3 linked regions of the Nothobranchius furzeri genome follow. The protein of the gene in region 1 interacts with the protein of each later gene in a biochemical or structural test. Links are inferred from orthologs where the notes say so. Each region holds a gene or a part of one and is shown in the gene's direction. Other genes may lie near its edges.

Region 1 (3,657 bases):
CATGCCACTAAACTTTTAAGTGCTTTTCCTGGTCAGCTGAGGGCTGCAGAGTTCTGTATAATGTGAAGTTCCTAAAGTTTCTGCCTTAAAAACCACTGAAACCACTTTCAAAGCAGTAGCATTAAGTGTTAAAACTTTTTAGCATTTCTTTAGAAACAACTTGTTGCCTTCAGGTGTAAATTGTTTAGCTGCGAAACCTTTGATCATTATTATTGTTTGTGCAGAGATTCACAAATGAAGATCACTTGGCAGTCCACAAACACAAACACGAGATGACACTGAAGTTTGGCCCAGCAAGAAATGACAACATTATTATTGCTGGTAAGCATTTAGGTTGGATTTATTGCATTTGATTATATTTCAGCATCAATTTTAGTGACTAAAACTTTTTTCTCCATTGCAGACCAAACTCCTACACCTACTCGCTTTTTGAAGAACTGCGAGGAAGTTGGGCTCTTCATTGAACTCGCAAGTCCCTTTGATCATGACTTCAAAAAAGCAGCTGAAGATGACACGAAAAAGGTTGGTCTTTGTTGGGAAACATGTTTTCAGATGATCTGAAAGCTGTCAGTTTGCTCTTTTTCTGATAATCTCTGGGGTATTTTTGGCCAGTTACCCCTGGATTTGTCACCTCTTGCTACACCTGTCATACGCAACAAAATCGAGGAACCAACGACTATAGAGACACATAGAAATAGTCCTCTGCCCCACCCTGAGTCGACTACAAATGATGACAAGGTAAGAGCTTTATTTTAGCCAAGCCTGGTGTTTTATTGTTGGTGATTACACAGATGTCATTTGTAGGTCTTATTTCTAAAGCTAAACTTGTCTTATTCTCTAGCTGAAACATTAACCATAGAAATGATCATTTCTACTCCTAACCTTGCGGCATGTATGACGTAGCAACAACATATTAGGTGAATAATTACGTGATCTGATGGCATTGAAACGCTCCTGCAGCTAAGGTCTTGTATGATGTTTTCAGGATTTATCTTTGCAGCCAGCCTCACTGCCAACATCCACTATAGTCCATCCTGCGTCCCTCCAAGTCCCCAATGTACTTCTAGCCACCACAGAGGCTAATGTTGTAATACAGCAGGCTCTCCCATCGCCAACATCTAGCTCTGTTATTTCCCAAGTCCCACCCACTAATAGACCTATAGTGTAAGTAACTGAATGGTCCATTTAAAAAGTACATATAGTTTTTCACAAGATCATGGTGTCTTTTTCCAAATCTTGTTTTGTGCACTTCTGTTGTGGTGAGTTTGTATTTCATGGGGCATGCGCTTGTTTGTTTTTTCATTTATTTGCAGTTTTCAGGATTTTTTTTTCCCCGTTTCACACAATATTCTATGAAATCAGTGTTGCTCATTAAAATGTAGTGTTCGGTTTTGAGTTTAAAAAATGGGATTTTTATGTTTTTTCTGTCAGTGCTCATTTATTTACCTTATACCATTGAGCAGTATCACTTTTAGCTTCCTCAGTTGTTTATAAATTTATTTACTTTCTAATATTCACAGAAAACTGTTGTTTATAAGTGCACCTTATTGATAAAATTGTATGTTTGTTGGAAAACAATTAAAGCAGCACATTTACACAAGATTTTCTTGGTTATAATTGAAAAACAGACATTTAGCATTTTTATAATTTGCATTTAGGATTGTTGACTGTATTTATTTTGCTTTAAATAACACAGTGAATTTAGAAACCAATATCAAAACCATTTAATTAAGTATAATAGCATATTCTACAGTTGACATCATGGTGCAAGTGCGACTGGGTGCTAGTGAAAGAAAGAAATTATTTTTTCTATAGCACCTCTCAAGATCAAAATCATGAGGTGCTTCACAAAAACAAAAAAATTAAAATATAAAACATTTTTAAAAAATGATTAAAAATATGTTTTAAATTAGCAAAAATAGACAATTGTGATTAAAAAATGCAAAGAGGGAGAGCGTGAATGTGAAAGAGGGAAATCAGTGAATCCCGGGGAAGGCGGAATAGGTGGGGAGAGCAGAATAAGGAGAGGGTGATGATGAAGGTCACATCAAAGCCAGCCTGAACAGGTGAGTTTTCAGCTGCTTTTTAAAGGAGTCCACTGAGTCCACTGATCTCAGGCTCAGGGGGAAAGAGTTCCCGAGTCTGGGGGCCACAGAAGCAAATGATCTGTCACCTCTGGCTTTAGCCTGGTGCGCTACACAACCAGTAGTGCTACTGGGTGCAAGTGCTACTGCTTTGCTTTGTCTGTCTTTAGCTCAGCCCGCTTCCCTTTCCAGCTGTTTCATGTTGTCGTAGACCTTAACTAGGTTTGGAAAACGAATAAACAAAATAAGAATCCGCACACTTCAATCTGCGATGTAGGAGTTTATTGGTCAAGCTTTTGGTCAGAGACCTTCATCAGGAATTGTGCTGACCGAAGGTCTCTGACCGAAAGCTTGACCAATAAACTCCTACATCGCAGATTGAAGTGTGCAGATTCTTATTTTGTTTATTCCACTTTTTGATCCAGCACCTCTCCCAGACGAGCGGTGACTCCTTCTACTCTATTTGGAAAACGAATAAAAAAATCTCCCTTCCAACATCCGATCTGGCTATCTAGAGACCAAATAGCACTCCCACCAACAGCGGTGCTTGGTCACTTCCTGTTTAAATATCTTCTGAAGACAAAAATATCACTTTGAGAGGAGTGATGCGACTCAGACCCATAGGCACCCATGCAAAATACACGCTTGCGTGTCTAGGGCTAAATGCCACAATGCATTGCAACATTATGTCACAATCTATTTCTAGCTACCGTAGAAAATGCTATTTTGAACATTGCATATTTACATAACGCTAGTGTACATTTACATTTGAAAAGCTTAACTAAAGTTGTATTTCACAAATTACAATAGCTTTTTAACTTTGATACTACACTGTATTATGAGCAATACTGATGTCACTGATCAGTCATGTTCAACTTGTATGTTGTCCAATGTTTTCATTTATTCTGTTTTTAGTTGGGTATTTTTTTACGCTTTTCTCTTGATCAGTTCAGTTGTCATCTGAAAACAACATAACGATCCTGTACAAGTATTTCTGTTTGTCTTTAGGATAACTACGTTTTCTTTTCAACTAGTTTTCTGTTTTACTTTTGTCTCTTTTGCAGCCCGATTTCTGGCACCTTTCCTGTGCTTTTACAGCTCCCTAATGGCCAGACCATGCCAGTCGCTATACCTGCATCTATTACAAGCGCAAGTGTACATATTCCAGCTACAATCCCAGTAAGTATATTGTATGAAATGTTCTGTTGACCTGTAGTAACAAGTAAATTTGATGACCAATGATCAGAATTTAGATTTTAGATAATTTTTTTCAGAACACCTATTTAATGAACAAGTTATAGCGTCATTAACAAAGATATGATCATTTTGTTGCCATATTTCATTTGGTAGCTAATTTTGTGATCCCCATCTTTACCGTAGTTGTAATAAGTCAGTAGGACCGTTTCCCTTATTAGAACTTCCAGGTGATTGGCTCTTTAAGGAATTTGCCATTATCTGCGTATTATGATTATTTCTGATTAGAGTTAGGGCTGGGCGATATGGCAAAAATAGAATATCACAATTTTTCCAATATTTTATCACGATTTCGATTTTGTCACGATTTTTTATCCAT
Region 2 (4,264 bases), on another chromosome or scaffold:
GTTTTGCCTTTTCTTGGGCATTTTTTCTTCTAGTTTCTCAAGAAAAACTGTATTTTTTTTGGACACTTTACTTTTCTGTTTCTGGTGCTGTGAAGCTCGGAGGATTTTTACTGCTATTTTTTAGCTTTTCTCACTTTTTGAGCATTTGTTATGATGCATAACCATGGCAACAAGCTGGTTTACAATCGGGAGCAGCTGATTAACATTGGAAAGGCTGAAATATTACCTCAACTGACGCCACAAATCCCAAATGAGCTAAAACGCAAGAAGTGTGGATGCAGAGCAGGAGCAAAACGGAGACAGAGAAAGAGGAAATTCAAACCATCTCTTCCATTGATCATAATGATCAATGGAAGAGATGGCAATGTGAGATCACTGGCCAACAAGATGGAGGAACTTCAAGCCCTTTCAAGGACTCAGCCAGAGTTTTGGCAGTTCTGGAACCACTGGAGGAGATATTCTCCAGAGAATCAAGAAAATTATGGACAACCCTGAGCATTCTCTTCACAAGACTGTCCGACAACGGAAGAGTGTCTTCAGTCAGAGGCTTCTTCAGTTTCGCTGCAACACTGACCGCTACTGGAGATCCTTCCTGCCAACAGCCATTGTAATATACAATAACTCTTTGATGACTTGATTATTATTATTATTCTGAGCTACTACAGCAATCAATTTCCCTCTGGGATTAATAAAGTATTTTTGAATTGAATTGAATGATTTTAGTAAACCATGTGCCATTTATGTGAATATTTTGCAAAGTAATTTGCCAAAAACTACCTGACAACATTAAATAATAATTAGTTATTTGGTGTCAAGAAAGGGGTGGGATTAAATAAACTGATGCTTCTTCCTATTCCCTTTTGAACATGTGGAAAAAATGAGAAGGAGAAGTTGCTTATGTTGTGTGTATTACTATGTGTATGTACGCATGTTCAAAATAAAATAAAGACAAAAAATAAAAAATATATTGGTCCAAGCACTGAGCCCTGTGGTACTCCACAAGTAACTCTAAAGCTGGGGTATATAATTCCGGTTCTGGTGGGGTGGTATCCAGCATATTTTAGAGGTATTACATTATAATATAATGTAATATAATATAATATAATATAATATAATATAATATAATATAATATAATATGATATGATATAATATAATATAATATGACGAACGCAGTGCCTAATCTATTGTATAACCCCCCCCCCCCACCCCCCCCACCCCCCCACCCACACACACACACACACACACACACACACACACATTTATGAGTGGATGAGGACGTGGGGGTGGGGGGTGCTCTGGAGCAGCGACTGCGGAGGGGAGGAGGGGATTCTCACTGACTGGCCGGTGCGTCGGTACGAGCAGCAGCAGCAGGAGCCGCTCAGGTAGTCGGCGGCGGTCCATCCACAGATATCTGTCCTCCTTTTTTTTAATTTCTGTATCCGGATGTAAAAATGTCCGCCAGACCGGGATTTTATCGGCAGGAGCTGAACAAAACTGTGTGGGAGGTTCCGGAGCGGTACCAGAACCTGACGCCGGTGGGCTCTGGAGCTTACGGCTCGGTGTGGTGAGTGTTTGTGTAGATAAATTTGCGTGATAGTGTGTGTGAGGGAGTGTGCGTGTGTGCAGTGCGGGCGGAGGGGCGAGGCTGCACAGCTACACAAGCAAGCGGTAGCTCCTATAACGCAACAGTCATTGTATGGTGACCAATCCTCATTCTGAGACCGAGCATGGTCTCAGAATGAGGATTGTCTGGTATAAAGTGCGAATTTATTGTTGAATTAAAATTAAAAAATTGTAGTTTTCACTCTCCAAATATTTAACATTCCTACCAACATGTGTCAGTGTAGCTGATGTGATATGAACATTACTATGAAACACACATCATCAGTGAAGGGTTGTTTTGTCCCATCGATGTGTGCTGTTCATGATGGGATTTAAGGAATAAGACAGCGTCACTACTACCGGAATTTCAAAAGCGGAGCCCCCCAAACCTGTCCCCCACTTAACCCAAAAAACACCTGCCTCTTCTGTTCTCTACCTGCATCTTCACATGCATCCAGCAGCATCCTCATTTGTCTGCACAATGATATTTCTACGGCACTAATTCTTCTGCATGAAACTTGCAGTTTCTTGAAAATTAGTAAAATTCCCCATCACCTGGTTGGATGCAGTTGCCATGGTGATGTGTCAAAGTGACCATTGTTTCTGACAGTCAATACTAATTAGGCTATTATCAACCTAGCCAGATGGTTATCCAAGAAAGCAAAGAGGAGTCTGAATTATTTGAAAAATACAAAATTCAGGTTTTTGGAAGTGTTTTGAAACTGACAGAGAGAGCAGCTAAGACAGAAGTGAGTTAAACATCTTTACGCTTATGTTGATTGATGAGACCAGCAGAGTTTAACTTCAAGCTGAAAGACACAAACCTTCAGGCCTGCCTGACCATGCAAAAATTTAGGTAATCATTGTTTTAACCAAAGCTTTGTAAGGGTTAAGGCATCTCTTGTTCAAATCTCCTGTTAGCAAAGAAGTATCTCATTTGAGCTTCTACATTAAAATACCTCCTTTCTTACTTTTACTTTATTTAATCATTTTGTCAATTAAAGCTTTATTCTACTTCAAGGATTGTGTCAGATTAAATTTGAGACCTTTTAGCCACACCTAACAGTTGTATTTTCCTGCATGCTCACTAAGCAGTTTTCTTCCTAACAACTGACTTCCTGTCAGCATGACGTTTGTAAAAATCCAGTCTATTAATGTATGATCTGAACTCTACATTATGATTCGTGCTCTCACTGGAGGTGGAGGGTTACATTTTGCAGCTATAAATACAGCTCAGAGTAGCATCATATTGGAAATATGAGAACCTGAATCATAATTTCTTCAGCAGTTATAATAATTATCAGCATTCAAGAATTTGATCAAATTTTAAAATACAGATTTATGAGGCCTATTATTCTAACTTCAGAATACACTCTTGTTAGGGTTGTTGGAACAGAGCATGTTTGTTGACAGAGATGTTATATTTTCATTAACCCTGTAGAATTCCGAGATGCAAATGACATTAAAACATGTAGTGAAGTGTTAAAAAAATAAAGTTTTTTTCACAGTCCTCTGTGATTATAAGTTAAAATCCCATAGTCATCATCACACACTGGTGAAATTCATCTCTGCATTTGACTCATCCCCATGGAGGGGAGCGGTGAGCTTCAGCCACGCTCGGAAAAAATTTGGTGGTTTAATTCAATTCAATTCAAGTTTATTTATACAGCGCCAAATCACGACAAGAGTCGTCTCAAGGCACTTCACATAATAAAAATTCCAATTCAGGTCAGTTCATTAAGCCAATCAGAAATAATGTTTCCTATATAAGGAACCCAGCAGATTGCATCAAGTCACTAACTGGTGTCAGTGACTATACAGCAATCCTCATACCAAGCAAGCATAAAGCGAAAGTGGAGAGGAAAACTCCCTTTTAACAGGAAGAAACCTCCAGAGAATCCTGGCTCAGTATAAGCAGCCATCCTCCTCGACTCACTGGGGATCGAGAAGACAGAGCACACACACACACACACACACACACACACACACACACACACACACACACACACACACACACACACACACACACACACACACACACACACACACACACACACACACACACACTCACTCACTCACTCACTCACTCACACACACACACACACACACACACACACACACACACACACACACACACACAAGTAATGTGTCTACAGTTATATTGTGATGTCTTAGTAAATATTCTATTTGGTGAAAGATAAACTTTATTGTATTTATCCTAGTGGATCTATAAGTAAATGGATAAACTAGTATTAGCACATCAAAAGTCAAGGAAACCAAAAAGTTATTATCAGGAGAGAGAGAATGTTTAAGTGGTTAGCAGCAGTGTGCTAGTCGATGGCCCCCTCCATGAGGCCACCACAGCTCAGCAGAACGTCGTTGTCGCTTCTTCTGGGGAGAAAAACACTTACAGAGAAAATAAAGTTAACAGCTGAAATTGGACAAAATAGTACAGTTAAAGAGCAGACTGTAGAAGAAAGCAGTAGAGTGTGAGAAGTGGTCAGTGTATCCTCCAGCAGTCTAAGCCTATAGCAGCATAACTACAGAGATAACTCTGGATAATCTATCCTATTGTGGCAATACGGGAGTGGTCTATGACCTGTTGACGCCAAGTATGGCAATTGTATCTGCTCGAGTGCAATTTCGTTAACAACGCCACCT
Region 3 (3,295 bases), on another chromosome or scaffold:
CGATCAGTTTTATTCAGCTGTTTCTTTAGCAATATTATTCTTTTTTATGGGGTTTCTTGGTAACAATATATCCAACCTATTTGTGAACATTAAGCTTAAAAAAAGAAAAAACTTCCTTTACTTGTTTACTACCAGACATGGACCAGCTGACTCAAATCATGAAAGTGACTGGAGTACCTGGACCAGAGTTTATTCAGAAACTGGAAAGCCAAGAGGTCAGATAAGTCCTCACAAAGTTAATGAGTTCTACTTTTTTATTCACTGGAAGCGACTTCTTTTGAGATTCATTTGTTTTGTCCACTGTTTCATTGTCTCCTATCGATATATTAAAACTCATTTTATTTATTTTCAAATCTGTTTATCTTTTGGCTCCAAAACAGGCTAAAACTTATATAAAGTCCCTTCCTCGTTACCCAAGAAAAGACTTCTCAACATTGTTTCCTGTAGCCAGTGAAAGGGGTGGGTATATATGTTTGTTGTTCTCAGTGTAATTTGTAGCATTAATAAATGTGATCTTTACTTTTAGTAATGGGTATAAAAACCTGCCTTGTGGAGCACATGAATTAAATTTTTATTGCTTTAGGTTTTGAGATTTTATTTTACGCTTGATTTAATGGCTGCATCTTCTGTTATACTTTCAGCCATCGAGCTGCTTGAAAAGATGTTGGTTCTGGACGGAGATGAGAGGCCCACTGCTGAACTTGCTCTGGAGCACCCGTACTTTGACAGCTTACGGGACCCCGATGACTTTCCTGAGCCTAAGCCTTATGATGACAGCTATGACAATGCAACACTGGCCCTGGATGAGTGGAAACGTATGTGAGAAAAAATATAAAATGAGCAAACATTCGTAGAAAAACAGTCCATGTGTTCAATATGTTAAATGCAACATCAAATATAATGACAATTGACATTAAATCAGAAATCCAGAGTTTCCCCCCTTTCACGAATTGGGTATGATTTCTTAGAAATTTATAAAAGCAATAGTCTTACCCTGTATTGTGATATAATGTAGGCAGTATGTCAAAAAAATTTATTGCTATGCCCATCCCAGTCCTGTAGAGCCCCATGCACTTTGAACTGGGTGCCATGCAGCATTCGCCAATAGCATCAGACATCTGCCTACTTACTATGTCAGTCACAGAGTGGAAATACCTAAAATGATACAGAGTTGGCAACTTTTCTTAGGACAAGTAATTCTTTAAAATATATTTATATATGAACAAACAGCACAATGTGAGACTAATATTTGTAAAACAGCATGTTTTAGCAAGAGGCATTGCTTTTGGCCGTAAATACAGAAGTGGGGAGAACGGCTTAAGGTGCAATGCACTTTTCTGCCTTTAGATGGTGCTGTCAGATAAAAACTCCAGATTTCTGCTTTGTTTTTTGAAGGAGATGAAGAAGAAGAAAGTATCATTTCTATAGCACCTCTCAAGATAAAAATCACGAGGCGCTTCACAAAAACAAAAAAAAATTAAAAAATATAAAAAAGCATTTAGAAGATGTTTAAAAATAAAATGAGGAAAAATAGGCAATTGGGATTTAAAAGAAAAATGTTAAGAAAGAGAGAGTGAATAGGAAAGAGGGAAATCAGTAGATCCTGAGGAGGTGTTTTGATGGAGCATTTCCTGTCATATTGCTTGAAATTCTCTTCACCTACTGATGGCAACCATTGAATTAAATGTTTACTCAAACAAACAGAATAGTTTAATCGCTTTGAAATGTACAATCCTGGAAAAACTTGTCCACTCATTGTGAACATCTCGTTGTTAAAGATTGGATCCTTATCCTTCCATCAAATTGCCCTCTGACCATCTCTCCCTCCCTCTCCACATATCCCTCTTTGTGCACGAATCGTGCATTCTCAGTTCGGAGCAGCTGAACAGCAAGTCAAGCCAAATCTCGGCTAGCTATATTAGTTAGCATACTAAATTGTTTTACGTTTATTTAGCCTGAGCAGAAGTGGTATAGTGTAATAAGCCCAGTACATCTCACTGGATCAATGTGCCAGGCTTCCCTCTCTTCAACTTTCAGTGCAGACAGAGTCTAGAGAACTCATGAGCAACAACAGAGGCTTCACTGCTATTAAGTAGGTGTGTTACGTTAGGAATTATGGCAGAAAATGTGCCAACAATGAGTTTAAAAGAAAAGATAATGTTTTGTTATAGTTGTTTGACAGTATCCGTTGAGTCCGGTATTCTCCTGTATTCTGCAGGCATGGCTCAAGGGAGCCTGAATAAAGGGGGATAAACATTTGAAGCGTGTATTTTAAAAATTTAGCTTGCTTGAATGACTTTTCTAGGATCATCTACCCTACCTTTAATAAAAGGAAATGGTAGAAAAAATATTCTATAAATATGCTTCACACATGGTAACCTAACTCTGCTCTTTTCCCATAGGGTTATGTTTCAAAGAGGTAAAAAGCTTTGTGCCATTCCCACGGAGAGACTCCAAGAGGAAAAACACTCTGACTATGACTCCTTGATCTGATGAATTCAATCCACTTCCTGGCGGCCCAACTTTCACAGCATACAGGCGACTGTGCCCTTGTTTATTCCACACCCACACTATTTCCTCCACTTTTGCTTTATTTAGATTTTTAATCAATGTTAAGAATTGTGCTTTATTTTAAAACTGCTCTCTTCTTTTTATGTATTGTGGAATAATTTCCTGAGTGTAGATTGTTACACATTCCCTTTCAGTGTTGCAAAGTATTTGTCACTAAAAGCTAACAGGTTTCCTGTAGGGTTTACTGTAAAACAGGTTTACAATTAAACAATGTGATACAATTTGTGTGGTGTTGTTTTTGTATGATAACTTACATGTGTACCTTATTAAGTCAACCTCAGCCTTGTGGTGCAAATACTGAGCATAATTTGCATGACTTGGTTTTGTCTATGGTTGCTTCAGAGGCCCCAGAAGGTAGGCAACCAGCAGCTACTACTTTTCAAATGATTTACTTGAGGGATTAATGCATCAAGCTGCCATCAAACGTTCAAATGCTTTTACAGATGGCACAAGAGTGAGTATCCTCATATAAGTTGTTTTAGATTAATAAAATCCTTCAGAGTACATTTTTAAATAGACTAACTCATAAGGGTCTTGAAGGAGAACCGAGCTAAATGACAATAGGATGAGAGCTAAGGACAATTTGAGATGAACCTCCCGTTAGGTCGCCTGCGCGCGAAAATCGTTGTCTAATGACGTCAAAAGGGGCAGGTTCTGGGCAACTGAACTTTTACCAACCAAGGTAAATCACAAACTGACACTAAGCGGAAGTGATGCTTTCCGT

The links.
Region 2: of the proteins of atf2 (region 1) and mapk11, one has a biochemical effect on the other in vitro, tested with the Homo sapiens proteins (4 studies listed by BioGRID and IntAct). The link is inferred for Nothobranchius furzeri from reciprocal best matches to the Homo sapiens genes ATF2 and MAPK11.
Region 3: of the proteins of atf2 (region 1) and mapk13, one has a biochemical effect on the other in vitro, tested with the Homo sapiens proteins (2 studies listed by BioGRID and IntAct). The link is inferred for Nothobranchius furzeri from reciprocal best matches to the Homo sapiens genes ATF2 and MAPK13.

Annotation. Positions count from the first base shown.
Region 1 is NC_091754.1:21,236,167-21,239,823, reverse strand, and holds part of atf2 (cyclic AMP-dependent transcription factor ATF-2), read left to right. Parts: intron 1-224; coding exon 225-321; intron 322-403; coding exon 404-522; intron 523-612; coding exon 613-738; intron 739-985; coding exon 986-1,164; intron 1,165-3,148; coding exon 3,149-3,263; intron 3,264-3,657. UniProt on the Homo sapiens protein: Transcriptional activator which regulates the transcription of various genes, including those involved in anti-apoptosis, cell growth, and DNA damage response.
Region 2 is NC_091741.1:56,926,549-56,930,812, forward strand, and holds the start of mapk11 (mitogen-activated protein kinase 11), read left to right. Parts: upstream 1-1,321; 5' UTR 1,322-1,452; coding exon 1,453-1,565; intron 1,566-4,264. UniProt on the Homo sapiens protein: Serine/threonine kinase which acts as an essential component of the MAP kinase signal transduction pathway.
Region 3 is NC_091755.1:52,219,022-52,222,316, reverse strand, and holds the end of mapk13 (mitogen-activated protein kinase 13), read left to right. Parts: intron 1-135; coding exon 136-215; intron 216-380; coding exon 381-459; intron 460-641; coding exon 642-815; intron 816-2,402; coding exon 2,403-2,488; 3' UTR 2,489-2,792; downstream 2,793-3,295. UniProt on the Homo sapiens protein: Serine/threonine kinase which acts as an essential component of the MAP kinase signal transduction pathway.